Saccharomyces cerevisiae S288C: one gene and its partners. Changing the gene in region 3 together with the main gene of any one other region gives a genetic interaction. Each region holds a gene or a part of one and is shown on either strand. Other genes may lie near its edges. The genes, in order: IMH1, TRS33, VPS45 and CEX1.

Evidence for each region.
Region 1: mutations in VPS45 (region 3) and IMH1 together harm fitness more than expected from each alone (negative genetic interaction), as found in Saccharomyces cerevisiae (2 studies listed by BioGRID).
Region 2: mutations in VPS45 (region 3) and TRS33 together harm fitness more than expected from each alone (negative genetic interaction), as found in Saccharomyces cerevisiae (2 studies listed by BioGRID).
Region 4: mutations in VPS45 (region 3) and CEX1 together harm fitness more than expected from each alone (negative genetic interaction), as found in Saccharomyces cerevisiae (2 studies listed by BioGRID).

The regions. Positions count from the first base shown.
Region 1 is NC_001144.5:746,533-756,299, forward strand, and holds IMH1 (Imh1p), read right to left. Parts: upstream 5,238-9,767; coding exon 2,502-5,237; downstream 1-2,501. Other genes in the region: DPA10 (Dpa10p), read right to left, coding at 316-579; chitin deacetylase CDA2, read left to right, coding at 1,405-2,343; Ras family guanine nucleotide exchange factor CDC25, read right to left, coding at 5,692-9,767. UniProt on the Saccharomyces cerevisiae protein: Involved in vesicular transport between an endosomal compartment and the Golgi apparatus.
Region 2 is NC_001147.6:538,159-541,060, forward strand, and holds TRS33 (Trs33p), read right to left. Parts: upstream 1,308-2,902; coding exon 501-1,307; downstream 1-500. Other genes in the region: mitochondrial HMG-box protein CIM1, read left to right, coding at 1-296; DNA-directed RNA polymerase III core subunit RPO31, read right to left, coding at 1,605-2,902.
Region 3 is NC_001139.9:325,585-334,427, forward strand, and holds VPS45 (Vps45p), read right to left. Parts: upstream 5,024-8,843; coding exon 3,290-5,023; downstream 1-3,289. Other genes in the region: TOS8 (Tos8p), read left to right, coding at 1-577; PAN2 (poly(A)-specific ribonuclease), read right to left, coding at 5,534-8,843. UniProt on the Saccharomyces cerevisiae protein: Essential for vacuolar protein sorting. Function in membrane traffic between the Golgi and the vacuole.
Region 4 is NC_001147.6:529,929-535,313, reverse strand, and holds CEX1 (COPI-interacting protein CEX1), read right to left. Parts: upstream 3,807-5,385; coding exon 1,521-3,806; downstream 1-1,520. Other genes in the region: AZF1 (Azf1p), read right to left, coding at 1-1,239; YOR111W (nucleotide diphosphatase), read right to left, coding at 4,187-4,885; transcription factor TFIIIC subunit TFC7, read right to left, coding at 5,066-5,385. UniProt on the Saccharomyces cerevisiae protein: Component of the nuclear tRNA export machinery that my collect tRNA from the nuclear tRNA export receptors of the aminoacylation-dependent export and may deliver aminoacylated tRNAs to the translation machinery pathway at the nuclear pore complex.

The DNA of each region.
Region 1 (9,767 bases), on a different chromosome or scaffold from region 3:
ATTTCCGAGAAATAAAGTTTCTCTCTATATATCTTTGATCTCTTATTTAATTATTCAACTCGCAAAAATAAAAAGAATATTTTGTTATTTCAAAAGTAAAAAAGTATGTATTAGAATAGAGGACATATATAAAAATCATATATATCGATGCTTGAATGTATAAGGAAAAGCGTCAAATTATGAACGGTAGGTACTTAGGATGCTGATGTCACATAAAGTCAGAGGGTATAACTTTAAAAAGTAATTTTTTAGAATCTTTTAGCGTCAAAACGTTACACGTACATTTGAACAGTGTTAAGAGTAGATTAATTCAAATTATACTTTTACGTGCTCCGATACAGTCTCTACCTCTTCGTTGTCAGTGCAAATAACAATTGGCTTATCATGAACTGTTCTTGGAGATGGAGAATATCCTTTCAGACTCGTAATATTGATGACGGTAGTTATTCTGCGACATTGAGTAGTACTAGCATCCCTTATAACCGGAATAGTTGTTGATGTAGGTGAACTTTTTGGGACATAACACTTGGCAGTTGTTTGCAAATTTTTTGTGATCATTGATATGTTTCTTAGTGACATTTTTGATGCTATTGTTTTTATAGTGTAATTGCTATGAGTTTATTTTGTTGACAAGTATACTTGGCTGTCTTTTTTATATAATAACGAAAATGTGTAGTGGAAAAGCAGGTGTGTTTTGTCTTATATCTTACAAACTATATAGGCTTATATAGTTTTTTTTCAAAGATTCTTATTACTGCACAAAAAAAAATAAGATCCCAAATTGAACATTAACATTAGTCATATTCAGGGATGGCTCATCACGAACAGCAAACTGAATAATTTTCTTGTCTGCGTTCCTTTTTTTGTGCACCAATGGATGTAGTATGCGCACCTGATGCGCATAATAGATTGCAATTACACTGACTACAACTTACGTATATGCGTTTTTATTACTTTTCTATTGCAACGGCCTAAAGGAATTCGATAAAAGAAAGAGTAGGCAAGATAAGCCTGAATTTGGCTTTCGGCTGTTATTTTTACTTCCGCTAAATTTTCTTTGTTCTTCCATTGTTTTTTTGCCTTTGTGTTCTCCATTAATCCATCCAATTTTAATGTCGGATTAATGGAACTTTCTATTAACCCATAAATGCCACATAGTACGGCTGTAGCAGTGAAGGTTACAAAAGGACGGGTAACACATGAGAAACATGCGTCAGGGAACAAACTAGATATTTGATTTTGTGACGCAACGCAAAAATTACTGGCTATTCTTTTGTAGTATTATCAAAATCCATTTAAAATATTCTCTCTCCTTCAGTAATCCTCTATTATTTATCAAAAACCCACAGTGGGTAAACAAACTGCAAAAGAGTTGTTATTATTTCTACGGATCGGCAATTGAAAATGAGAATACAACTAAATACAATTGATTTGCAATGTATTATTGCACTTTCCTGTCTGGGGCAATTTGTTCACGCGGAAGCTAATAGGGAAGATTTAAAGCAGATAGACTTTCAATTTCCTGTATTGGAAAGGGCAGCTACAAAAACGCCTTTTCCGGATTGGCTTAGTGCATTTACCGGGTTAAAAGAATGGCCTGGGTTAGATCCACCTTATATACCTTTAGATTTCATTGATTTCAGTCAAATTCCAGATTATAAGGAATATGATCAAAACCATTGCGACAGTGTTCCAAGGGACTCGTGCTCTTTCGATTGCCATCACTGCACCGAACACGATGATGTGTACACATGTTCCAAACTTTCCCAGACATTTGACGATGGTCCTTCTGCTTCCACTACTAAATTATTGGACCGGTTGAAGCATAATTCCACCTTCTTCAATTTAGGTGTCAATATAGTTCAACATCCAGATATCTATCAAAGAATGCAAAAGGAGGGACACTTAATCGGCTCACATACCTGGTCTCACGTATATTTGCCAAATGTATCGAATGAAAAAATTATAGCTCAAATTGAATGGTCCATCTGGGCGATGAATGCTACTGGCAACCATACCCCCAAATGGTTCAGACCTCCATATGGCGGAATAGATAATAGAGTAAGAGCAATAACAAGGCAATTTGGCTTACAAGCCGTCTTATGGGATCACGATACTTTTGATTGGAGCCTCCTTCTCAATGATTCTGTCATAACTGAACAAGAAATTCTTCAAAATGTAATAAACTGGAACAAGTCAGGAACCGGATTAATATTAGAACACGATTCAACGGAAAAAACTGTCGATCTTGCCATTAAAATAAATAAGTTGATAGGTGATGATCAATCAACAGTTTCTCATTGTGTCGGCGGAATTGATTACATAAAAGAATTCTTGTCCTAATTTTCAGGGAATTGAAGAAAATAAGGAAGAATTAAATTACAATTTAAAAAGAAATTGCTTTAGTATTTTATATATAGACATGCAGCAACTTCTTGATATATTTCAGGAAGAAAAAAACTGTTTCAATATATACGTATCTTCTGCTTTCAGCTACATTTTTACTTCAGAGACATAACCAGTCTTTTTTCATCAGTACTGTCCAGTTGTAACAACATAGAAATTACAGGAAGTAATTGGTTCCGTTGTTCCTTGTGCTCCAAAAATCCCAACAAAACATTTTTTATATATGCAATTTTTTCATTTTTCTCAGAGTCTAACTCCAATGAACTTGATGATCGTATCTTCTCTAATTTAGTTGGATTAGAGTTATTCGCTGGTGAGGAATCAATATTCGCGTTAGCTAGAGTACCGATAGAACCAGACCTACTAACTCTTCCTGACTTGTCACTGTATTGTCTTTCCTTTAAAGCATTCAATTGAGAGGACAATGAACGATAATTTTTTAGTAATCGATCAAATTTCTTGTTAAGTTCGTTATTTAAATTCAGAAGTTTCTCATTGGCAGACTGTAGCTCAAAATTCTTTTCATCAGCCTTAGACAATGAGAGTTTTAAATTAGATGTGATCTGTTCCAACTGATCGGAATCATCTGAAGTGGCTTGAGTCTTCCTTTTGATGTCATTGTTAACATGTTTCAATGCGTCAACCTCTGATTTTAGTCCCTCTTCACGAAGCTTTAAAGCGTGTATTTCCGATTTCAGCTCAGTTACTGTATGCTTCCACTCTTGTAATTCAGTGGCCTTTCTGGATGTTTGTAAGTCTAATTCTGCTTCCAATTTATTCTTTTCATCCGTTAAATAGGCCAATTTATTCTCCAACTCTTTTTGTTTGCTCGAATCATCTGTCTGACTGTCCGAAACTAACCTTCTCAATGTGTTAGCTTCTCTGGTTTTGTCTTGAACAATATTAGCATATTCATTTAGTTCATCTTCTAAAGATAAAATTTTTTTTGTAGATTCCTTCAACTTGACATTTAGTTCCTCACATTGTCTTTTGATAGAATCTATGTGTTCATTCGAATTACTTTTTACATTTTGCAAGGTATTGTATTTTTCTTGCAAAATATTCAATCTTTCCGATAATTTACCATTTTCTTTCAAATACTCCTCGTAGGAATTAGAATTCTTTGCGATATCATTATGCAGTGTCTCATTTTCCTTTTTTAATAAGTCTAATCTGTTAGAAATTTTAGCATGATCTTTTCTCAGCTGTTCTGTGGATTTTTCAGCCACGTCCTTTTGCTCACTAAATTGTTTAACTTGTTCCTCCAAGTAACTCACAGTTTTTTCCTTTTGTTTATAAGAGGTTCTTAAAGAAGTAAGCTCCTTTGTTATGTTTGATTTTTCGTAGGTAAGTTGAGATATCTCCTCATTTAATTTGGCTACCTTGTTCTGCGATGTAGTCTGCTCTTTCTCCTTTTCTGTACATAAATTCTTCAGATGCTCTACTTTCTTGCTCAATAACTCTATCTTACTTCTCAACTCAGTATTTTTAGCTTCGTAGGCCTCGATCATCGTTGCATTTTTATGGCGTAAATCATCGAGCTCCAGCTTAACGGTTTTCACTTCTTCATTTTGTTTACTCGAAGACTCTTTAATCTCATCTTTTGCGTCCACAAGCTCATTGCCTACAGTCCTCAGCATATCTCTCACCTCCTCTAGCTCCGAATTTTTTTCTTTCAATGACTTCTTGGTATCGATCAACTCGGTGTTAAGGGTTTCCAGCTCCTTTGCTGATTTTTCGAGCTGTGAGTTTTCCAATTCTTTAGCATCTTTTAGTTCTGCTTCTATATCTTCATACTTTTGCTTCCAATCTTCACAATCTTTATATTTTTCTTGTAATTCTTGCAAATTTTCTTTAAGCTTATCATATTCTTCAGTATTGATTGAGTTATCGACCGTTTCCTCTTCACTGATATCACCCGTAGTTATGCCTCCCTTATTTTTCTTTCCCTTGTTTCTATTCTTTTTCCTTCTGTTATTGTTTCCTACATTTTGATGAGATATCGCCTTCGGTAACTCCTTCATTTTTTTTTCCAATTCACTCAGCTTGCGCTCTTTCTCTTTTAAAGTAATATTTAGTTCTGCCAACTCTGAGGACTTTTCCTCCATTATAGTACTTTTCGAAGACAAATTTTGCTCCAATTCGGTTATCTTCATTCGACTGTCCTCGAGAGAATGGTTCTTTATAGCCAATTCTTCCTTCAGTTCGGATATAGATACTTCTTCTTTCTGTTTTTTGGCCTCCCTTTCTTCCTTTAGTATATTTTCCAGTGCAACTATTTTTTCTCTCAAACCTGAAACAGTATCATTTTTTTCTTTTTGTACAGTATCCAATTCTATGTTTAAAGCTTCCATTTTTTTTTTTAGATCGTCTATGTCATTTTTATAATTTTGCTCTTTTTTCAAAAATTCCTCTTCTTTATCCTTCAGAGTTTCACTAGAGGCGCTTTCTGGAATTTCCGAGTTCTGCTTAGTTAATCTCTTGATCTCATCATTCAATAGGTTATTTTTGTTGTTTAAATCCTGGAAAAAAGCTGGCAACGTATCCACTGCGTCGTCAATATTAGATATGGGTGTATTTTCCGCTAAAATCTTTTCAACAGCCTCTAACTTCTCTGACTTTAATTTTTCATTTTTGTATGCGGAGAGTAGCAAAGGGTATTTTTGTTCATATTTCTCAAATTTTCTTAATTTAGCTTGTATTTCTTTTGGCAAGCCACTCTTATCATCTTCGATTTGTTGTTCTGACGGGGTAGGGCTCATATCATCGGCTAAGCCCTTCGCTAATTCATCGGTAAGATTCTTACCAATTTGTGACAGCTGTTTGAACATTGAATCAGCAAATGTTTCCCTAAGTTAAAATCACCTCAAATGTAACTCCTGTTGCTTACTATTTGACGTTTCTGCTACATTTGGTTCTCTTATATTGCTGGATCTGAAAATCCGAACTATGAGAATGCGGGTAATAGCTTTTCATAGAATCACTAATTGATATTTTTTCAGGTAATAAGTTTCCTCTAATCGGGCATTTAAAATCTTGGATCGATAACTTAACTGGGTGTAATAAAATATATAAAGATATAAAATAGATATATATATATAAAACGAACTTTATCAAGAAGAACTGCAAATGAAGCGTACTCTCAAATCCTCGAAAACGAAAAACACTCCACCAGTACAGTATTATCACGAAGAATATTAAGTAAAAGCAGCCATCTTAAATAATAGAGTGTAGCAATCAAACATAAAGCTAAGGTTCTTCTTGATTAGCAAATTGTATAAACTTTTATCGAAATAACCTAGAAGGAGGTTTTTTCTTACCTAGCTTCAAAAAATTGCCATTTTTATCATCTGTAAATTCACTTAGGAATTTTGCAGTTTTTGTACCGCTAGCAGAAGAAGCATGCGTACTGCCTTTGGTGTTTCCTGATCTCGGTTCCACTTGCAGTGATAATTGATACTGCTTTTCAATGTGGGGGACATTTTCCAAAGACGCTTCTATAACGGTCTGAATATCATCCAATCGTTTCAGCTTGTAATGGAATCTTTTAAAGCTTATAATTTCCTCCACTATATTTGCGATTTTAGTCCTCTTGCTGAAGTTTATTATGTTGGTTGAATTGTGAAGAAAATCTGGGTTTCCGACAAACGTAAATGTTAAATCAGATAGGTATACACCAAAAAAGGGAACACATGCAACGTCCGTCACGGATCGCAACAGCTCTCTATACTTCACAAAATTTCTCTTGGAATCCATAAGGTTGTTTAGGTTCTTCAGAAGGTCCTTCGACTCAGTGGAAACTAAATCCCATGTCTTTTTCAGTCGGTAGATTGGGGAGGAATACAAAGCGGACACTATGGCAGTCATTGAAGAAAAATTATTCAACTCTTTACAATGCTGGGCAACGGTAACAAAATATTGCGTTAATTTTGAACGTGTCTTGACATCTGCCTGTTTTACAATGGTATGAGAAACAAAATTAGTTAGCGTATTAGCATTAGCTATAAATTTCGTAATGTTCGGAGAACCACCCATATTACAATACTTGGTACCCCATGCCCTATCCAAGCATTCAAACATAGTGATCCTGAGGTATAAGTCATGTTCAAGTACAGTCAATTGTGTGGCATATGTGTATGGGTCAATATCCAAGAGCTTCAATTTCTTCAATCTAAAAAACGCTGAAGAAGCAGAAGATGGTAAAGAAGACGAAGACATGTGTATCGGTGATTTATTGTCACGTTTAGTTGTCTGTACGACTGCCGATACCGAATCTTGTTGCTTAGGATCCACTGGTTCTTTCTCATTCTCATTTATCAGTTTTTCATTTATCTTTTGCAAAAGATCCTCTGCCCCCGGTATTTTCTCCGATACAACCATCTTGGCAAAATTTAGAATCAGTGGTATGCCAGGTTCATAATAATTTCTTGTCCAATACTGCGTCAAAAATGTTCTCATAATGTTGACCACACGGCATTTAATCGGGTTTGACTTTTTTTCTATCCAAATATTGTAATCATCGTAACTCAGCCCTTCAGGAGGATACAAGTTGTACCTGTAAATCAGGGCATAAAAAAACTCTCTTGTGGTTAATATACTTCTGAAAGTTATTAACATTGTAACATTGAAAGCCGCATCAACAAGTTCATGACTGGTTAAATGTTCAATCAGTGCCTCTTTTGTCCCGCCACGAATTTTTCCTCTTGAGTCATAGACAAGACTAGTTTCATAATCTGAAGTTAAAAACCATGGAAGGTTTTTCTCTATGTTCGCAGCTTTGCGTTCAATATAGTCCTCAGATCCTAATTCGTCATCGATGATAGCTTCATCATTTTCTGAATCGTCATCACTATAGTCCTCGGAATAAATATCAAACCATTTTTCTTGCTCACCTTTCAATAGTTCTGCAGTCAAATTATTCTTCATCATTCTTGCTGCGTAGTTCAGCAAATTTTCTCTTTCTTCAATCAATTGATCAACAATAATACACGCAAGATTAGAAATCTCGACATACTTTTCACAAGCATCTTTAAAATCGTCGGAGTTGTTTAAAAATTCAAGGTTATTGAACTCCACATCTTGACTCACCAATACGTGAAATAAGGAGAGTGCCAATTGTTCATTTTTTTTATGGAAGGGGCCCTTGACCAAAGGTGTATTAGAGATATTCTTGAAAGGTTCATGATGTCCGACAGGGAAATTGGACCTCATTGAGGAAAACAAATACGGGTCGTCTAAGGTCGTTTGTTGCGTTGTCATTATTAATCTGATGACGATGTCATGAAAAGCCTGCTTTATATCAAAAAACTCTGTTAGTACTGAGGAGACCGAAGACATGGCGTGAACTAAAAATTCCTCGCTTTCCAAATCCAACAAAATACTGGGTGTCTTAATCAGGTTTTTCAAATTGATGAAAATTGACAGATCTAAATTCTCCAGTATCTCCAATAGTAAAACATTCTGATTTATTTGTTCGTATGTGCTTGAATTTATTTCCAAATTCCTAATTCTGCTTTTGGGTTTACTTATAATTTTTAAGTGTTCACCTGTAGCATTATTTAATTTTTCAAAAATTTGCGAGGATTTCTTCTTCATTGTATTCAAAGTGTCTACAGTTAATGGATATTTTTTCTTCCTTTTTGAAACTCTTGCTCTTGAAAAGGTTCTGTTATGAGAAGGACGGTTGAAAGGTGTAAAAACTGAACCAGACGCGGCACTGCTTGCTTTTAAATCAATTTGGGAATTTGTTTCTGAATTAGCGCTATATCCTGACGCAGAGGCAATAGCATCTGCCATCTTTGGTGGAATCCTTGATATTGAGGAATTTTTGGACGACGAAGCGGTCACTTCATTAGATGTGACAGCTTTGTTCTTTGTCGCATTACCAAATTCATCCGTAATAAAAGTCGAAAATGGATTTGTCCAAGAACCACCGCTAAATGAACCTTTAAAAAATCTTGGGAGCAACTGTGGTAAAGTATTATCATCTGAGAAGACTGAGCTCTGTAACACAAAATAAAGTAACTGAACATGCCTTAAAAATTTCGAGAATTCCACATCAACCATTTCGTAAATCGATTTAGCTGACTTAAAATTTTTGTTGGACGGTGAAAAATCTTCCAAAGTAGAATTTTGTATTGAAGTCCTTGGTGTTACGACAGAATTAACACTATTTCTTGGACCTAAGACTGAGAAATTTTCCATATCGTTCTCATTGACTGTACTGAATGATGATCTCATTGGAGTCAATGTATCCGTTGTACTGGTACTTACATTACGTTTACCGGACAATGGAACTGAAACTAGATCATGTACACTATCTACTTCAATTTTACCATCATCCCCTTCCGTCCTAGAACAATTATTTTCCTGATTATCGTTATCCTTGTCATTCATAGTATCCATTTTTTTTCTGTGAAAAGCTGAATCGAAATATAAATGAGAATTGATACTTATCCTTGACAATGAAGAGATTAGACCTTTGAAAATCTTCTTAATCTCCTTGCTGCAACTTTTGGCTTTAATTTCATGTTGCATTAGCCTGCAGCCTAACTGTGTGAAGACTATTGAATCTGATATCAAATCAAAGTATTTCGTGAAATTGAGACGATTCTCTTTAAGGAACATCTTGTGAGCCGTTTTAGTATAATAAACTGTTAGGTCTTGTAATTCTGTCCACAATTTTATATCTCTTGAATAGTGATAAAAGATGTCACTCTTGGCCAGTATAGAAGAGCGACTTGGGGCAACTACCCTTGATTGAATATTCTGCGTTAAATCTGGAGCAGATAAAGAATTTAATGATGAAGGACCAGCCTCATTGAATTCGTTTTTGTTATTTTCGTTATTATTATCATCATCATTAATACTGTTATTATTTCCATCAGTTTCTTTTGAATCCTGTTTTTCCATTAGAAGGCTTGATCTATTTTGTTCACTTTCCGATTGCTTCGATCTCGTAGAACTGTCCTCAATATTCGCATTTTTCCTCAGATCTCTAGTATATAGGTTAACAAGATGATCATTGGGCGGGAATTTTGGTTCGCTGTCACAAATGTCATCGGATTCCATAATTGAGTTAGAAATCAAGGGTAATTCTGAACAGTATATATCAAGGTCTTTGTTATAGTATACCAACTTGTAATCGGATGTTTTCGTTATCAGTGGTATGGGGGACCAAGTCGAAGCAATGTTCGAACGTATACCATTAATAATCATTTCTATCTCTTCCAACGGTAATATCTTAATTGTTTCTTCTGCTACTAGTGGGGGACCTGCTTTCTCACCAGAAGTTTGTAAATTTGTTTCATTGTTATTCATAATTGCGTTTGTATTCATCTCAGATGAGCCATCTGCACTCT
Region 2 (2,902 bases), on a different chromosome or scaffold from region 3:
AAAATTACCTTTATGATTATATGAAAAGGTTTCAACAAATGTGCAAAGAATGCCGGTATGCTTGGAACGAAGAGGTTGACTATGACCAGAAACTAGAAATTAGAAAAAAATTACAGGTATGGAGGGCAAAATTTGAGGAAATGATGGATAACGAGATACAAATATTACAAAAAAACATGGATATCATGTCAAAGTTTGGTCTCAGAAGTGAGTCCTATCTTACAGCAGCGAATCACGATACAAATACACAACCAAATAATATTCTTCCCATGACGTACCTACTAAAAAAGAAATGACAATAGACTTTTAGGGCTTTAAGAAGAGTCCACGAAAGCACTTCACTATCATAAAGACTATATGTACCTTGATCAAAGAAATTATTGTCAAGATTTTATAGTAAGGGTATTATTTTGAAAACGGAGTCACCTGTTCTTTTATATACACACTTATATCTATCTATATGTCGATGTACATTCTTAGAACAAAAATCTGTCGGACCTTTACTGCGGCATTGTGACTTGAACATGGAAGCTAACTCCCTTGGGAAAAGCTGTTTTAGGCCTATCTGTTGGCCTGTCGATAAAAGACGCCAAGCAAATGACCTCTTCAGATGAATAACCTAAGGAAGACAACACGCCTCTAATAATTCCCACAGGTATCTCCAAAAACGGTTCTATCATTTTTAACTCCTCGTTTTTTGCATCTTCCTCCAAAGAAAATGATTGAATAGGTCGATAGTCATAATCAAGAAGGTAAAAGGTTCCTCTGTGGTTTGTTTTTAAATTATCGATCTGTTTACCAAATATTTGTTTCCAGACATCCCTACAAATGAACTTCATTATTAATAGAAGGTCCATTTCCTTGAATTTTAAATTTGGGTTGTTAGAAAATATCAATAACTCTGACAGCTTCAATCCGATTTGAAACCCAATATTCCTCAGTCTTGCTAAAACCTTTTCTTTTTCCTCTTCATCCGCCTTATACAGCTCATGTATCAAGTTATGAGAACGTATGATATCTACTGTATGATGTTCCTCTATCTTCAGTCTCTTTATCATATTGTTGATGTTACCATTTTCGGAAGTTACATTGCTATCAGAACTGATAACATCGCCTGATATTTGCCTCTCAATGCCCATAGCTAGAGGAACCATCTCGTTCAACAGCATCTGATACACAGATTGACTTACTTTTGGTAATGAATTCTCAAAAATTTGATATTGCTGTTGTGCTCTTTGTTGTTCCGTTAGTGGACCTTGTGGAGAAGATTGGGGATGTCCTACATTATTACTATGTGTAGAGGACATAATTGTTTATCTTCCAACTTTATAACCGGTGTATGTTTTCTTTTATGGCATGAGGTCTTCACTCTCAGCTTGTGAGTGCATACCAGATTCCAAAATATTTAGCATTTTTGGTCTCAAAACGTTGACGCGAGTTTTTGAAAACGATACGCTGGTTCTACTAATGTGAAGAAAGCAAATTTCTTATAAGTAAATTTTGTTTCATGGTTTTTATCATGTAGTTTTATATGTATAAATACGTTAAATGACTGTGGTAGAAAAATAATACAAATGCTATAAAAAAGTTTAAAAACGACTACTTTAGTTCGCTTTTAAAGCTGCCTCATTTGAGAGACTTTCAAATAGACATCGCTTAGGAACCAGATCCTTTTCAGATATATTAGTACCTTTAACAACTTTAAAGGAACCGGTACCGATCGACATCGTTTGACCCAAAATAATACATTCAGAAACACCTTCAACAGCGTCCTTTTTCATATAAAAGGCCGCATCGAATAAATGGTCAGTTGTCTTTTCGAAGGAGGCTAGCTGCAAAACAGAGTCCCTCATTTTACTCAAACCAAATCTTGTAATACCCAACACTTCACCCTTATATGTCATCACATCACCTAATAGTTGGATATGACGTGGATCGACACTCATACCGTGATTACTCATGGTATAGTTAATTTCTCTAATAATGCTATATCTTGCAGCTTCGATACCCAAAACGGAAAAGACTTCTAAAACATGGTTAGTTGTAGTTCTAGAACCAATGACACCATCTGTACACATCACATCTCGCAGGCCGTAACCTTCAACCAATAATTCCCTCTTGCCGTCATCGCGAATATTAATAACCGCACGAGAAATATCAGGTAAACCTTTAACAACAACATCAGGAAGCGCACGACGTAACTGTTGCATTCGGTAAAAAACATCATTCTCACTTGGTTCTTTCGCAGATGTAGATATCGATTTTGCTTTGTACCCTTCTGGGAATACGTTGATTGCAATTCGATCTTTACCAATAATATTGACATCAGAGGCTTGTATTTTCAATTTAGAAGCCCTGGTTATAGCAACCGCGATATCTTCTATGGTCAACTCCAATTGTAGTTTATCAATCGTACCTAAATCAATACGCACTTGAATGAAAGACAAGTTGTCTTTGTAAACATCTTGGACATAGAAAGCTACGTCAGATAGCAGTGTCTTTTCCACTCTACCTTTAACAACCCTAGCAGCCCTTTCATCGTTATCATTTACTAATACAGCATTTATAATAGGTGTAGAAATGACCTTGGAAGCATTGATAATTTCTTTGATACGAGGAACACCTAATGTAACATTCATGGAAGCCACACCTGCAAAATGAAAGGTCTTCAATGTCATTTGTGTACCTGGTTCACCAATGGATTGAGCACCAATAGCACCAATAGCAGTACCTGGCTCCAGTCTTGCCTTACGATATTTGAAAAGAGCAATTTCTAAAAACTTTCTCACCGATTTTTCACTGATTCTATAAAGTTGGCTTACAGATGTTTTAACATTATCAGGAACGGTTTCATCTGGATCAATACCTTGTAATTCTTTTGCAGGAGGTTCTAATAGGCCTA
Region 3 (8,843 bases):
GACTCAAAACATACGTCAGTATCCAGTTATATATAATAATAACCGAGAAGTTATATCTACGGGTGAGAGAAATTACATAATAACTGTAGGGGGGCCTCCGGTAACTTCTTCGCAGCCCGAGTATGAGCATATCTCAACTCCCAATTTCTATCAAGAGCAGAGACTGGCACAACCTCATCCGGTAAATGAGAGTATGATGATAGGTGGTTATACAAATCCTCAGCCTATTAGCATTTCCCGAGGTAAAATGCTATCCGGCAACATAAGTACGAACTCGGTCCGCGGATCTAATAATGGATATTCCGCAAAAGAAAAAAAACATAAGGCACATGGTAAGAGGTCCAATTTACCAAAGGCCACCGTTTCAATTCTAAACAAATGGTTACATGAGCACGTAAACAACCCTTACCCAACCGTGCAGGAAAAAAGAGAACTGCTCGCGAAAACTGGTCTAACTAAACTTCAAATTTCCAATTGGTTCATTAATGCTAGGAGAAGAAAAATATTTTCTGGCCAGAATGACGCAAATAATTTCAGAAGAAAATTCAGTTCTTCTACAAATTTAGCTAAGTTCTGATTTTACTTTTTTCGGAATTACCTAAAATGGGTTTACGGCATAGAAGATAGATAGATTAAGAGGTAGGTTGACTTTTCCTTTGAAATTTGTAATTTTAATAAAAATTCCAAAAAAAAAAAAAAAAAATTCAAAGTAAAAAGACAAACTTTGGTGAGAATCTTCGATTAACAAAATTACTCCTTAATATTCTTAAATTGGAAAATGATCATGGTTATCAGTGTATTTTCTTTTACCGTGTATATCAAGTTTTATACCCCGTATAGCTTCAATATACGCACTTTTCTCAGATCTTTTTCTGCCGTCATTCCTTTCTTCCTTTTCTTTCAACTAGAAAAAGAAACGAAATCAGACCATATATCTAGTCGCCAAGCATTTTTCCCTTCTTGGATAGGAGGAGCAAAAGAAATACTAACAGTTATTAAAATGCACCATGCCCTCTGTACATCATAAACCCACTTACAGGCTTTTTTTTCATTCTCGATCAGAAGAGAAAAAAAGAAAAATATAACTCGGCAGGCTGTACAACCTTATTGTTCTGCGTAGTTTACCTGGTACATAAACTTCAATCAGGTGATTTTTTTTTTGATGCAACAGATTATTTTGTAGGTGTATTTGTTCATTATGTTTGTATCTCTGTAGGCTCATGGATAATAGAAATTCTTCTCCTGGTACGTATTGGAGTATACCATAGGAATCAAATGCTGCCCGTCCCAGGATACTTTTTTGGAGATATGACAGTCTGAAAGGTGCAGAATAAGGCAAGTTTCTGGCAAACAAAAAGTGATAACAGTCTAAGTGTCTTGAAAATTGTTGTTACTCTTGCCATTGCGTCAGAAGAAAGGTGAGTTTTACTTCTATCCTATAGCGCAAGAAGGTACTCAATAGATTACAGTTCTTGTTGCAAGTTGGAGTATCCCATTAATTCAGGCCATTCGCCACGTTTTAAAACGAAGTTATTAAAAAGAATATAATTTTGGAATTCGAAACTTAATAAATACATGATGCTAGGTACACAGAAGACATCATTATTTATCCCCCTGAATTATGAGTCCACACAAGAGAATCAACAACTCTACATAATACCATAATTATTTTGCCTTTCACTCTTCAGAAAGTCGTTCTTTGATTCTGTTGTATCATCTGTCCTTTTGTTTGGGCGTCCACTGAATTTAATGGCAGCTTAGCTTTAACTTCATCGAATGGTTTAATACTTCACATCATCTTCTGAAAATCGCATTAATGGATTATACTGTTATTTAATTAGCAGCTGAAATTTTTGCTTCAAAAAGAGTAACAGTTGCAAGCAATTCTCTCAAAAGCTAAGAAGCCTTTGAGCCTTGGAAAGCAATGTTCATCTAAAAACACAAGAAAACCCTCAAAAAGAGTTATTGTGTGCAATAACACTAAATGGACCACAGATACATTTTTGAAAATGATACAATCCGTTTTTGCTTATAAGTACACTGAAATAAAACCTACCTGAGCTGGCGGCGCTACAAACACTCAATGTTTCTAACATATGGAACAAAGAGAAGACAGCAAATTACCTTGCTATAACTGTCAAGACGTTTTGGTAATACATGCTACTTGAAAACCCTCAAGAGTCGCTACAAACTTGCCTTTCCTTAATAAATAAAGGCAAGCGTTATCTTCGTTTTCAATGAAGCGTCATATACATGATACTATTGGAATAAGAATTAGCTATCATCTATCGAATAGTGTTCATACCATTGACATATTGTTGTCGGAATGGAACTCTAAAATATCATCTGTTTATCGGCATTCGTGTTAGTAGTATATTATCACATGCGGTGTAAGAAGATGACATAAAAATTGAGAAACAGTCATCAAATATAATGGAAGCTGAAATGCAAGGATTGGTAATGTAATAGGATAATGAAACATAATGAACGGAAGGAGAAATAATCGTAATATTATTATGTAGAAATACCGATTCCATTTTGAGGATTTCCATATCCTCGAGAAGAACTTGTAGTAACATAATATTATAGTCTTTATCAACAACGCAATCTCAACAATTATCAAGATTCACCTAACATTCAAATATTATATATGATGTAAAAATATGATATAAGGATTGCGAAATATATTTCAGATTTAATGAAGGTGATATGCAAGTATTGATCATTTAGAAGAATAACTAGGGAATGAAAAAAGAGCTAATACTATTATTATATAAAAATACCGATTCCCCTTTTGCGGATTACTCTATCCATGAGGAGAATACCCTAGTATATTCTGCATGATTTTATAAACCAACTATTACAGTCTTTATAAAAATGAAGTTCCAAAAACTTCTCATATTGGCCTAATTTCTCGCGAATATGATTGGTTATACGGTGTAAAAGTTTTTCCATATAGTAATTTACCTTTGTAATGGAATTTTTCCAACAATTATTGTCCGATATAGTGTAACGGCTATCACATCACGCTTTCACCGTGGAGACCGGGGTTCGACTCCCCGTATCGGAGTTTTTTGTCGTAAGTTGAGAAAGTTTTTTCCAGTTAAGTTATTATGACGCATGCACATAGAAGGATCACCGAACAAAGTTGCAATTATTAGGCACCGAATGAAGAAAATGAGAACCTAATTTCGCTTGGCAATAGTAAAATGTTTTATCTGCATCGAAAAAGTTATATAGATTTATGCCTCATATATAAAATAGAATTTTAGAATAAGATAATCCTTATTTATTTTGCAGATCTAATAGAATCCATATATTCTTTAGTTGAAAGTATAGAGGTGCCTCCTAAAACCACCCTCATTCTGTTATTCATCGTTCCATTGAAATCATGGACTAGCCTTGCCTCCTCATAAGTTACACCGCCAATAACAAACAATATTACATCCTGAGGAATATCTTTGCTCTGCTGGTTTCCGATCACTCTATGGCCTTGAGTATCTATTTCTTTGAAACGATCCCTGAATAACGCATTTTTAGAGAGATCTGTTAGTAATGACGAAATTTCCGGAATATGTTGCATATAGACGTTTTCAGCGGTGTTGCTCTTAGAATTCATTCTACTATTAAATCTTCTTGCTAGTTCGGTTAATATATCGTCCTTGTCATGGTTACTTTGAGTCATTTTATCCTGGCGGCTAAAAAGCGATTTAAATTTATGGAAAAAGTTGACGTCCTCTGGAGGAAGTTGTTGAGACAGAATCTCAACTAGTTGACGGATTTTGTCTGAGCTGGTTTGATTGTTTAAAGAATAAATACATGCAAGCTTTAACTTGTAATACTTATCAACTGCTTCATTTTGTAGCAATTTAATCAAATCGGAGAAATCTTCTTCATTGGCATCGTGTGCTGATAGATTTTGTTCTATTTCACTAATTTCCCATATATTTTTTATCTTCAACTGTCTGTCTAATTCCCCCACTATAGCCATATGCTTTGCAACATTTCCAGATAATTTTCTAAACTCTGGATACTTCTCAATAAAGTTTTTAATATCCTCAATGGAATTTATTTGGCTGTTGGTTTGTGTCTTGTCTTTGTATGTAGTCACATATTGTTTTACTTTATCACCCAATTCACCAAAATTCAAATACATGGTATCCCTGAAGAAAGCATCTTGCTTTGATGATAAGGTGACCTTCTCCAGGTCTTTATCAATTCTAGGCACTTTCGATAAATCAACTATATTCCGCTTAATGCCTATATACTCATTGATCATTGATTGGTAGGTCCAAGGTTGAAGTAAAGGTGTTATAGGATCAGTATTACGATCTAAAATTAGTAACACAGGTGTCGAATCCATCACAGGAAAATCAAAAAAAGTTCTTTCGTTTTTACCAATCTCATAGGAAACTTCTTTAGCCAATCTTTCACAAATTTTACTTGCTCCTTCATACCTGATATCTGGTTTTATCTTTAAGGATAAAAGCACAGAAACTAAGCTGTTGGTACATTTTGTTAGCCCCCCTTCGCTCCAAACCAATTTATTACTTAAAAATTCTCTTGGTTGCAAATCAAACGAAAATAAATCTTGGTTTAATATAAAAAAGTCTTGGAATATTTCTTCCACCTTAGTAACAGCTTCCAAGTCGTCAGATTCAGCTAGCCGTTCTAATTGAGATTTAGAGACAATATTACTAAAGAATATTTGATACTCGCCGTACCGAGGATTTCTTAACTCACGCAGCAGATGTTGCAGTGTTTCCTCTGTGGGTTTAACGTAAACTAAGCACCTTAAATGCCTGGACACTTCACGTTGCTCATTTTCTATTCTTTCTACCAGATATATTTCATGCTTCAACAACTCACTTTGAGTGGCACATAAGGATATCGTAGGTGTGGTATTCTTATCCAACAGCAAAACCTTAATCCTTTGGTGTTCATTGACATTGGCTACGCTCAATTTCGATTGGGAAGTCACAATTTTGTTTATATAAAAGTCAGCCACATCAAAAAGGTTCATTTCTTTGTTCTATACAGTAAAAGATGGCCTTAACTCAAAACCAAGTCACTGTACCTCTTCACTCCTTAATGTTACTCTGGGTACATTGCATATGAGCCAAGGCACTTCTATAAGTAAGTTCGAACGTTAACTAACTGTAATGACGTTACCCTTTCCTGAAATTGGCAGAAACAAAAATGAACATTTCTGGCAACTTTTCGCCATACAGTCAGTACTCGTTACGGACGCCCGGGAAACAAGTAGGAAACATATGAGAGGCCAAACAAGGGTAAGACCTTCTTTTCTGGTAATAGATATTACTTCATCGCACAAAGAAGTCTAATTCTGGCGTGTGATGACAAAAAGGTTTAACAAGACCTGTTTCAAAATGTTTGCATATGTTGATTACAGTATATATAATAGTACACAAACACCGGTAACATTTTATAATTTTTTTGAATTTTTTGTATACTTTTCCAACCAGTGGTGCGCTGGTGGCTCTTGAGATTACGTGAAAGGCACTGCACCATATTATCCCTTTGAAGTTTCTGGAACTTTGAAATTATGGGCTCTTCCTTCTTCGTACACGCTGTTCAGTACTTTCTCAAAGATAGCTTTTTCTTTCAGGTGGAGATATTTTTTGTAAAGAATCAAGGCAGTATGGGCATCTTCAATTGAATCGTGATTTCCCTCTTGGATATTCATTCCTAACAACACATATGCCAGATAACGCAATGAAAGATATCTCTTTCCTTGTAGAAAATATATGGCAGTGTCGCGAATTTGGTTTCTTGGGACATTAATATTAATGTGTTTGAAGTCATTATTCAAACCATGACCAACAAATACGCATCCGAGCTGCATTAAAAGCCAGACTTTTCGATATACAACGTTTCTTCTCACAAGCCTTTTGGTACTCTTTTCAGGGTCCAAGTCACCAGGAAGAATCCCACTATATCTTGTCAAATAGTCTTCTATGTGGTTCGTGTTTACCACATAATCATCGACAAATGGTACTCCATACAGTTCTCCTTCTTCGCCTCTAATAATGGATATTCTGGCCAAAGCAGTTCTTTTAGGTCGAATAATACTTCTGATTCCTTGATGATCGATTTCACATAGTTCACTTTGTAATGAGACAAATTCGGCATCAATGGCAACCAAGGTTCCAGATTTAGGTGCCTCATCATGTGTTAATAACTTATATTCACGTCTTGCAGTATCTCTTATTCCGTTTGCGAAATAATCACGGAAAAGTATGTCATAGTTGATGGAATACGTATCAACAGAAAAGAAAGGTTTTCGTAATTCTTCCGCATCACAATATATGATAATTTCTGGTGTTTTCCAAGGGTATGTCATTTTAAGCGCCTCTTCCTCTGTTATCTCAACAACCAAATAATCATTAAACATGAGCCACTTGAAGCAATTCTCTTTTGGATTATATTTTTTGACATATGTTACTAGACGCGTCTCGTTATTGTTATCAGTGATTTTAGCCACGTAACCATTCAATTCGTATTTAAATATGTGGCTTGTGCCCTTCAATTCGGACGCCGTCGATCTTAGAACTGCCTTGTTTTTAATGATGCTTCCATAAAATTCACTAGTTAACCAGTTTTTCGACGACCTTATATTGGAAAATTCGGTATCTAATAGTGATAATTCTAATGACAACACTGAAGGTAAATTCTTGACAGTACACTCCTGGGTGATAGTTTCGGTTTTGCCGCAGGTTGGGCAAATACTGTTCTTTTGGGTTACATTTTTCATGGCATATTCAATATAAGGCAAAATATTCTGTCCATTGCTTTTCTTGTTCAATTGTTTGATTACGGTTTTGTTGATTCCTGATATTGATAAGGAGGGTAGAAGTTTGACGGTAGTGTCGTAGTGATCACAGCTACACTCTGTTCGTATTTCCGTTTCCAAACCAAAGCATTGATTTAGGGTGATATTATGGTTGACTGTCTGCGCTTCCTCTTTAATAAGTTGCGAGAGCAGGAATCTGTTAAATTTTTGAGGCATATTGCGTTTAATACTTTCAGAAGAATTAAAATCCTCGATACTTTCCCTTATGCACAGCGATTCTAAATACTCTTCTAAATGTTCTTGTGGTTCACCGTTTTCTAATTGTCTTTTATCAGTTAAGGATTTCAATGACGCCTGAAAATTGGAAGAACTACATATTTTTCCATGTGATCTTTCCATCATGTCAAAGAGGTAGCCTAGATCAGTTAGCAACGTTGTTTCAAAATTCTCGTCTTTCAAACACCCAACAACGAAATTAAACATTTCTGGAATAAAGCGATACAATTGTATGATAGCATTTGTGTAGTGATTATCAACATCTGGATCCAATCCTGAATACTCAGTGTTATTAAAGGGCGTAAAATCAAAATTATCAGTACCAAATCTACCTGATGTCAGTGGAAGTCTACTGTATGCAGGGGGTACTTCGTACTTGTTGATTGAGGTATATGTCTGTATATCGCTGGTTTCTAAACCGCTTGTTATCTGTTTCCTTATATCTCTTAGACAAACGTAATCTGGTATAGCATTTCTCATACCGTATTTGGTGCGATCATATCTTAACAAAGGAAATTCTTGTGTGCTCAACTTCTCATTTTGGCTCGAGATCACAGCAAGGTTACTTTTTAATTTGCCGCTCGATGGTAAGGGTGACTTACCTGTTAATTGCGGTATGGTACCTTCACTTTTAAACACTACAGGGGGCCATGCAGACAAAAGTTTATCAAGATAGTACGGCATCCCCACAGAACTCAATGGATATGTTTCATCGTCGACAGATATTGGGCCGTCAGAGGTAATGTCATTAAAATAATCAGGATATGCTAGCATTTCAGGGGTATTGGTAAACATTCCCATGTTGTTTGATGATCTTCTCCATGTATCTAGGTGATTATCAGCTTCTAGTATACCCAATACGTCACCATTGGGGGACAAACATAACTTTTTAATCGACTGGCAAGGATGAACATATTGTGTTCTTAAAGTTGGATTGGAAAGGTCGATGAAATCAAACGAACCAGAACTTGAGGCGACGATCATAACAGTAGGAAGCAAAGGATGTAATTGAACAAAATCTGCGCCTCCAGATCCCATAGTTGTTCCTTTAGAAAAGGAAACAGGAGGGAGTTGACGCATTGTTCTCAAGTCGTAAACATTCACAAATGGGTCAGCGTATAAGTTATAAAATCTTTTGGACTTCCCTACTGTAACCAAGGTGTTATCCCGTAAATCCATAGCGGATATGGATGCAGAGTGTGCATTAAATGATTTGATAGTACGATTCGATGTTGGATCTAGCAAATCCACAGTCCCTGTTTGTCTTCCGATAGACAAAACTTTATTATTAGAGCACATTAACTTCACTTTAGATGAGTAATTCAAGAGGGAATCTAAGCAACCTCTGTTCAAGTCAATGGACGCAATTCCCCAATTTGTGTTGTCACCACCACAGTAGATATTGTTTTTCAGTGAATGAGGAGAATAGCACATAGTGTTCAATTCGCTAAATGCAGCAATATCAATGCTAGTGAGGTTCAATTTAGTAACACCTCTTCTATTAGCAAAGTGTAAGGAATCTTCACTAATAGATAAAATACCATCCCGATGACTGAGAATATCCTTCACGGAATTTCCACCTATGTGGCCCCTATATCTTGTATAAAGTTGAAAAGTTGGATCATATGACGAAATGCAACCATAGCTGTCTCCACTCCAAATTAAGTTTGCCTTCTCATCGAAGCTAATCGCTGTAATTTCCTTATCCCTATTATCGAAGCGAAAGTATGGCTTCTTCAAATGTTCCGAAAGA
Region 4 (5,385 bases), on a different chromosome or scaffold from region 3:
ACTATTGCTTGTGGTATCGGTAGAAGCAAGGCTATGGTCCTCTTGGTTTGGGATATTAGTACTGGTGGCGGAATTAATACTATTGTCGTTATTATCATTATTGTTGTCATTGTTGTTTTCATTGTTGTTGTTGTTGTTGTTGTTGTTATTGTTATTGCTACTGTCATTGCCATCATCATTGTCAACTTCATTACTTTTTCCTTTCATGTTATTGGTAACATTATCCGCGACAGGATCACCATTAGCTTTGTTGTTAACGGATAGTGAGTTTAATCTTGATTCAGGTATAAACGCATTTTGGCTGCTATGGTCCAAAGTACCTCTAACAAAAGAATTCCGCCTTTTGAATTGAAAATCGAAATCTTCAGGATTAAACTTCAAAGAATTATTTCTTGAACTCAAAAAGTACGGGTTCTGATTAGAATTACTGTTGTTTGTACCAGTATTAAAAAATGATTCATAATCTGCATTTGTGTTCATATTCCCACTATTATTGGTGCCATTGGACTGGCTTTTAGTAGTTGCTGCAGGTATTAACAGTGGAGGTCTCATAGAGTTTGATTCTCTTCTACTGCTAGGCTGGAACTGCGGTTGCTGTGACTGCTGCATACTGAAAAATTCAAAATCAGGCCCATCATTAGGTCCAAGATAAACAGAGTTTCTTTTTGAAGGTGGCTGCGAAGTATTATCATTTCTTGGTAAAAATTGATATTGAGAAGAACTTCCCGTTAATCCCGTCGAAAATGAAGGGGTCTTGAAGGGAGGCTGCTGGTGCGACTGCTGTTGTTGTTGTTGCTGCTGTTGCCGATGCTGATTTTGAAGCTGCTGTTGTTGTGGGAAGAGGTTGTTTACAATGGAAAAGCCGCGTCCGATTTGCGACAGGTCTGGCGGTTGATGTGTACTTGAAGTGGATAATCGTGGAAGATTGGAATAGGCGCCGCCAGAACTAGGTCCTCCTGTACTTGTTACTGGTACGTTATCAGATATGTTCAAGAATGAGTTGATAGAGGCGTCCGTGGAATATCGTGGCTGGTTGAAATTTGTATAATATGAAATCGACTCATTCCTTTGTTGTTGATGTTGCGGTTGAGAAGAAGCCGGTTGACTTTGATTAAGAATAGGAGTAGGGCCTTGCCCATGCTCCTGGTTTTGCTCCCCAGCTTCGCCTGATGATTGATTTTGGCTTTCATTTTGTCCCGCCTGCGTAGGGCCCATGAACTGTGCAGTTGGAGGAGGCATGGCTGGTAATTTTTCAATATCTGAATCTTTTGAAGTATATCGCTTGTGTAGCTGTTTTTGTCCCAATTAATTTCTCTGTGGGACCATCTATAGTACTACAAGGTTCCCTTTTCTGATGACTCTTCTTGCTTATGCTTCATTTCTACTGGAATTAAAGGGACCCTTCTTTTCCTCCACTTCTCAAAGAAGCGAAATCGCGGGGCACGGGCGTAATGTTTCTAAATAACGATTAACACTGAATATATCCTTCTACAATACGTAGGGCTATATAAGTCTTGGGATCACCAATTCGTATCCCAGGAGTCTGAATCCCCATCATCATCCCAGCCGTCAACATTTCCTTTCTTGGTTACCGAGCCGCGGATACTACTTATAGGCTTACTTCTTGCAGTTTTATTGGACAGTGACGATTTGGTGGTAACAGTAGAGTTACTAGCAATGTTTCTTGGTGCTAGGATCGTTGTTTTCTTCTTCTTGATAGAAAGCCTTGAGCTAGGAGCGATGGATTTTGCCAACGTTGAATTTTGTGGCCTTGTGTGTTTTTGAGGCACCTTTGATGGGCCGCTTTCATCTTGAATCCAGCCATCATCATTCAACTCATCATTCCAACTTTTATTAATTTTAATAGGTTTTCCGAATAATTTTGGGGTGCTTGCGGTTGTTACAGGGTTTGTTGTTTCATCGAAGGATTCTGTGGTACCATTTGTAATAAAGCCATCGGTATCGCTGAGGTCGTCCCATCCACTTCCATCCTGGGCGGAATCAATTTCGCTCTCGGTAATGTTACTTGGTGTTGTTGCTGAGGGAGAATTTAAACGTAAATTATTTAAAAATTGTGCGGCTAACAAATTGTCTTCTTTATTCATATCCTCTTCATCACAACCGTAATTCTCAAAATCAATATCTTTCACATCTTCCGAATCTGCAGTACTATCGTTTGTTTGAATAAGTTGGGCTTCTTTTTCCAATTTTTCCAGATATTCTTCGAACAGGATTTTGGCTCTGCCTCTTACTATGGGACTTTTATCTAATAAACCAGGGGCAATGACTGTTAAAATTTTGTTGGCGATTGTGTTCACATCAAACAGCTCAATCGACTTCTCAAGCCCATAAAGAGCAGCCAATCTTGGTTTTACTTGAGGATCTTTCAAAGATTTTGTGAACGCCGTAGCTAAAATATTCGAGCGATTACCAACTGACGTTGATAATATGGTTGAGATTTTACTTATTATGATGACTGTCCATGTTCGGATTTCAACGTCAGAATCAACCTGTGTTTTTGCGAGAAACCTCAGTAGCTCATTATTCAGTTGTCTCTCTGTTAAACATGACACAATGCATGGAATTGTCTTCAGTGTTTGTAATCTAAGAGTGGCATCAGAGTCGGTCAGACCTTGGATAAAATGTGGATATATCCTACTGGAGATCTCTGATTTGCTCAATGGACCTATTAATTTGGGTAGGTATATTAGTAAAAGAAATCTTACTTGCCTATCTGGCAGTTTAAAACTTTGGGTGATAAGGTCGTTGAAACCAACTGGAAAGGTGTTCGTTTCAGAAGTTAGGTCTAAAACAATCGCTAAGAATGGTACTAGTTTATGTGATGCGTTGAAGTTCATGCCTATAGGGCTGGCAGCACTACTGATGCTTTGTGTCATTAATAATTTTATAATTTCACAAAGCTCTGGAATAATAAAATTTTCTATCATTCCAGGCGTTAAATTACGGAAAATCTCTCTTGACTCTAAATACAAATTTTCCAAGTTTGACATCACAACCAATTTTCCCTGTGGGTCCTTTATATGCAACTCCCTCAATTCTTGATAAAAGTTTATCAAAGGATTAGAACGCCAAGTTTCTGTATTTTCTAGCCTTTTTCTGAAGTTTTCGATTGTTATCTTTCCATCTGAAATCATATTTACATTGACAATCCAATCTTTGGGCAGACAAGAAGGAGCCATAAGGCTCTTTATCAACAATCCTAACCCCATTGAATCAATTGTATTCGGATCTTCACAGGGCAACTGTGAGCCAATTATGTTGTAATATGACCTCGCTCTACTGGCAAATTCAAACGCACTTAATCCTTCTTTGCTTGAACAAAGTTCTAGCCCAAATAGTACCCACTCTCCCTTAATATTGATAAAAACAGAATCTTTAGAAAGCGTACCAAGGACAAAGTTTTTTAAAAATCCTAAAGTTGCCAATAATTGTGATATTCCTAATTCAACACCAAATTTGTTTTGAGATAAAGAGCCTAGATTATCCCAAGGAAATGGAACTACTCGTTCGGTAACAATAAATGTGGATTGGGGGTCGGAATCAAATGTCTCCAGCACCGTACAAAGTCCTGGAATCTTCAAAATTTTGCTCTTGTGTACAGCATTTAAAATTAAAGATTCATTTTCTGGAGATCTTTTTGCCTTAAAAACTGTTACTGGCAAGGAATCTGCCTTCCTTGTACCATCGAAACATTGCCAAAGGGCGGTTTCAGTGATTGCAGTTTCCTCTATGGTGTATGGGAACTGGAAATTCGAAATAGATTTGAAAATGCTGGAAAAATTCATCACTTACAGATACTTGTTCACCAATAAAAGCAACGATAGTAACAGTGTCAAACTCTCGACTAAATAACTTGACGATATTATTGTTTTTAAGATACTTATATTTAATATAATCATAATATAAACAGACAAAGAGAAAGGGCCTTTTTGAAGGTGAAAAAAATAGAAGATGTGCGCGAAAGCGTGAAATTCAAAATGCGTATTGCTTTAAACTTTCTTTACCATCAATCGAAAAACTGTCTCGTAGAATGTTAATAGCCGTGTTATTTAGCGCATGTATCTATTCACCAATGTGGCCTTTAATATCCGTTCCACTCATTCTTCTGGTGTTGCAAAGATTAACATAGTTAACTGAGCAACACCAAAGAAAACCTAAACGAAGGTTATATGGAATTAGCCTCAGCATAGAGTCCTTTGAACGTTTTATTGAGCGGTAAACCAACTACGTTATAGTAATCACCTTCAATTTTTTCAATTAGAATAGCACCTTGCCCTTGTATTTTAAATCCACCGCCAACCTCCAGCCCATCTCCGCTTTCTACATATTCTTCCAATATTCTCAAAGGTATTTTGTTATCAAAGTATACCTTGGTTTCATCTCGGAATGGTACCAATTCAAAGTTTTCTCTGCCGTACCATTTAATTAAAGTCACAGCGGTGACAACGTTAACTGGTTCATCATCTTCATAGCAAAACTTCATTAAAAACTTCTTTTGGACCTCTTTTGTTTTAGGCTTCTCGTAGATTCTCCCACTCTTATCTATAATAATTGTGTCTGCACATATGATAAGCTTAGGTTTATCAATTTCATTTGGGTTTTCATCTTCGTAATCTGTCAAAATCTCGATTATATTCTGCGCTTTATGCCAGCTAGTATCGCACACATATCCAATCGGATCGGTAGAATAATTCATTTTATCAAGATTCTCTTCAAAAGTAGAAACCATTGTTTTTAAATCGGTGATTCCCATTATATCGTGTAAAATTTCATACCTCCGTGGAGAGGTGCTGGCCAAAATGATATCATACTTAGAACATATAAACCCGATTACGTCGGGTGGCAGTTGACTATTTCCAGACATTACGTTTGGTGAATGTGCTCTTTTTTTGATGCGGTCAGATGTTCCTTTCTTGTGTTCAACTGGGTTATTTTGCCCTTACGTCTCTTCACGCTTTTCGTCTGGTAAAATACACGAAAGGTAATAAACAAGCAGATGCACCTGTGTTCTTTAAATAAGGTTGCTGCTGCTACAAAATACATATTACATAGGGCGGACATTGCTTAGCACTATCCTCTCTTTTATTCTATAAATCTTTTCTGATTGAACCTCTTCTTTATCTCCCGTGTGATCTCTACTTGTGTTAGTTGAATCCGGTAGTCCAACGTCTTCTTCTTGTATTTGTATGTTTGGGTCGTTGGCAGTCGATGAGCCTTTACTTTGACCAGCATTTGTTGTTTCATTCTCTTCAGTCGGTGATAGTAGACCGGCTGTCTTTTTATGTACATGTGCAGCATTTGGGAAAGCAAGCTCCGTGCCAACAAGTCTCTCCCAGCTTCCCTCATACAATCTATTTCCGATTC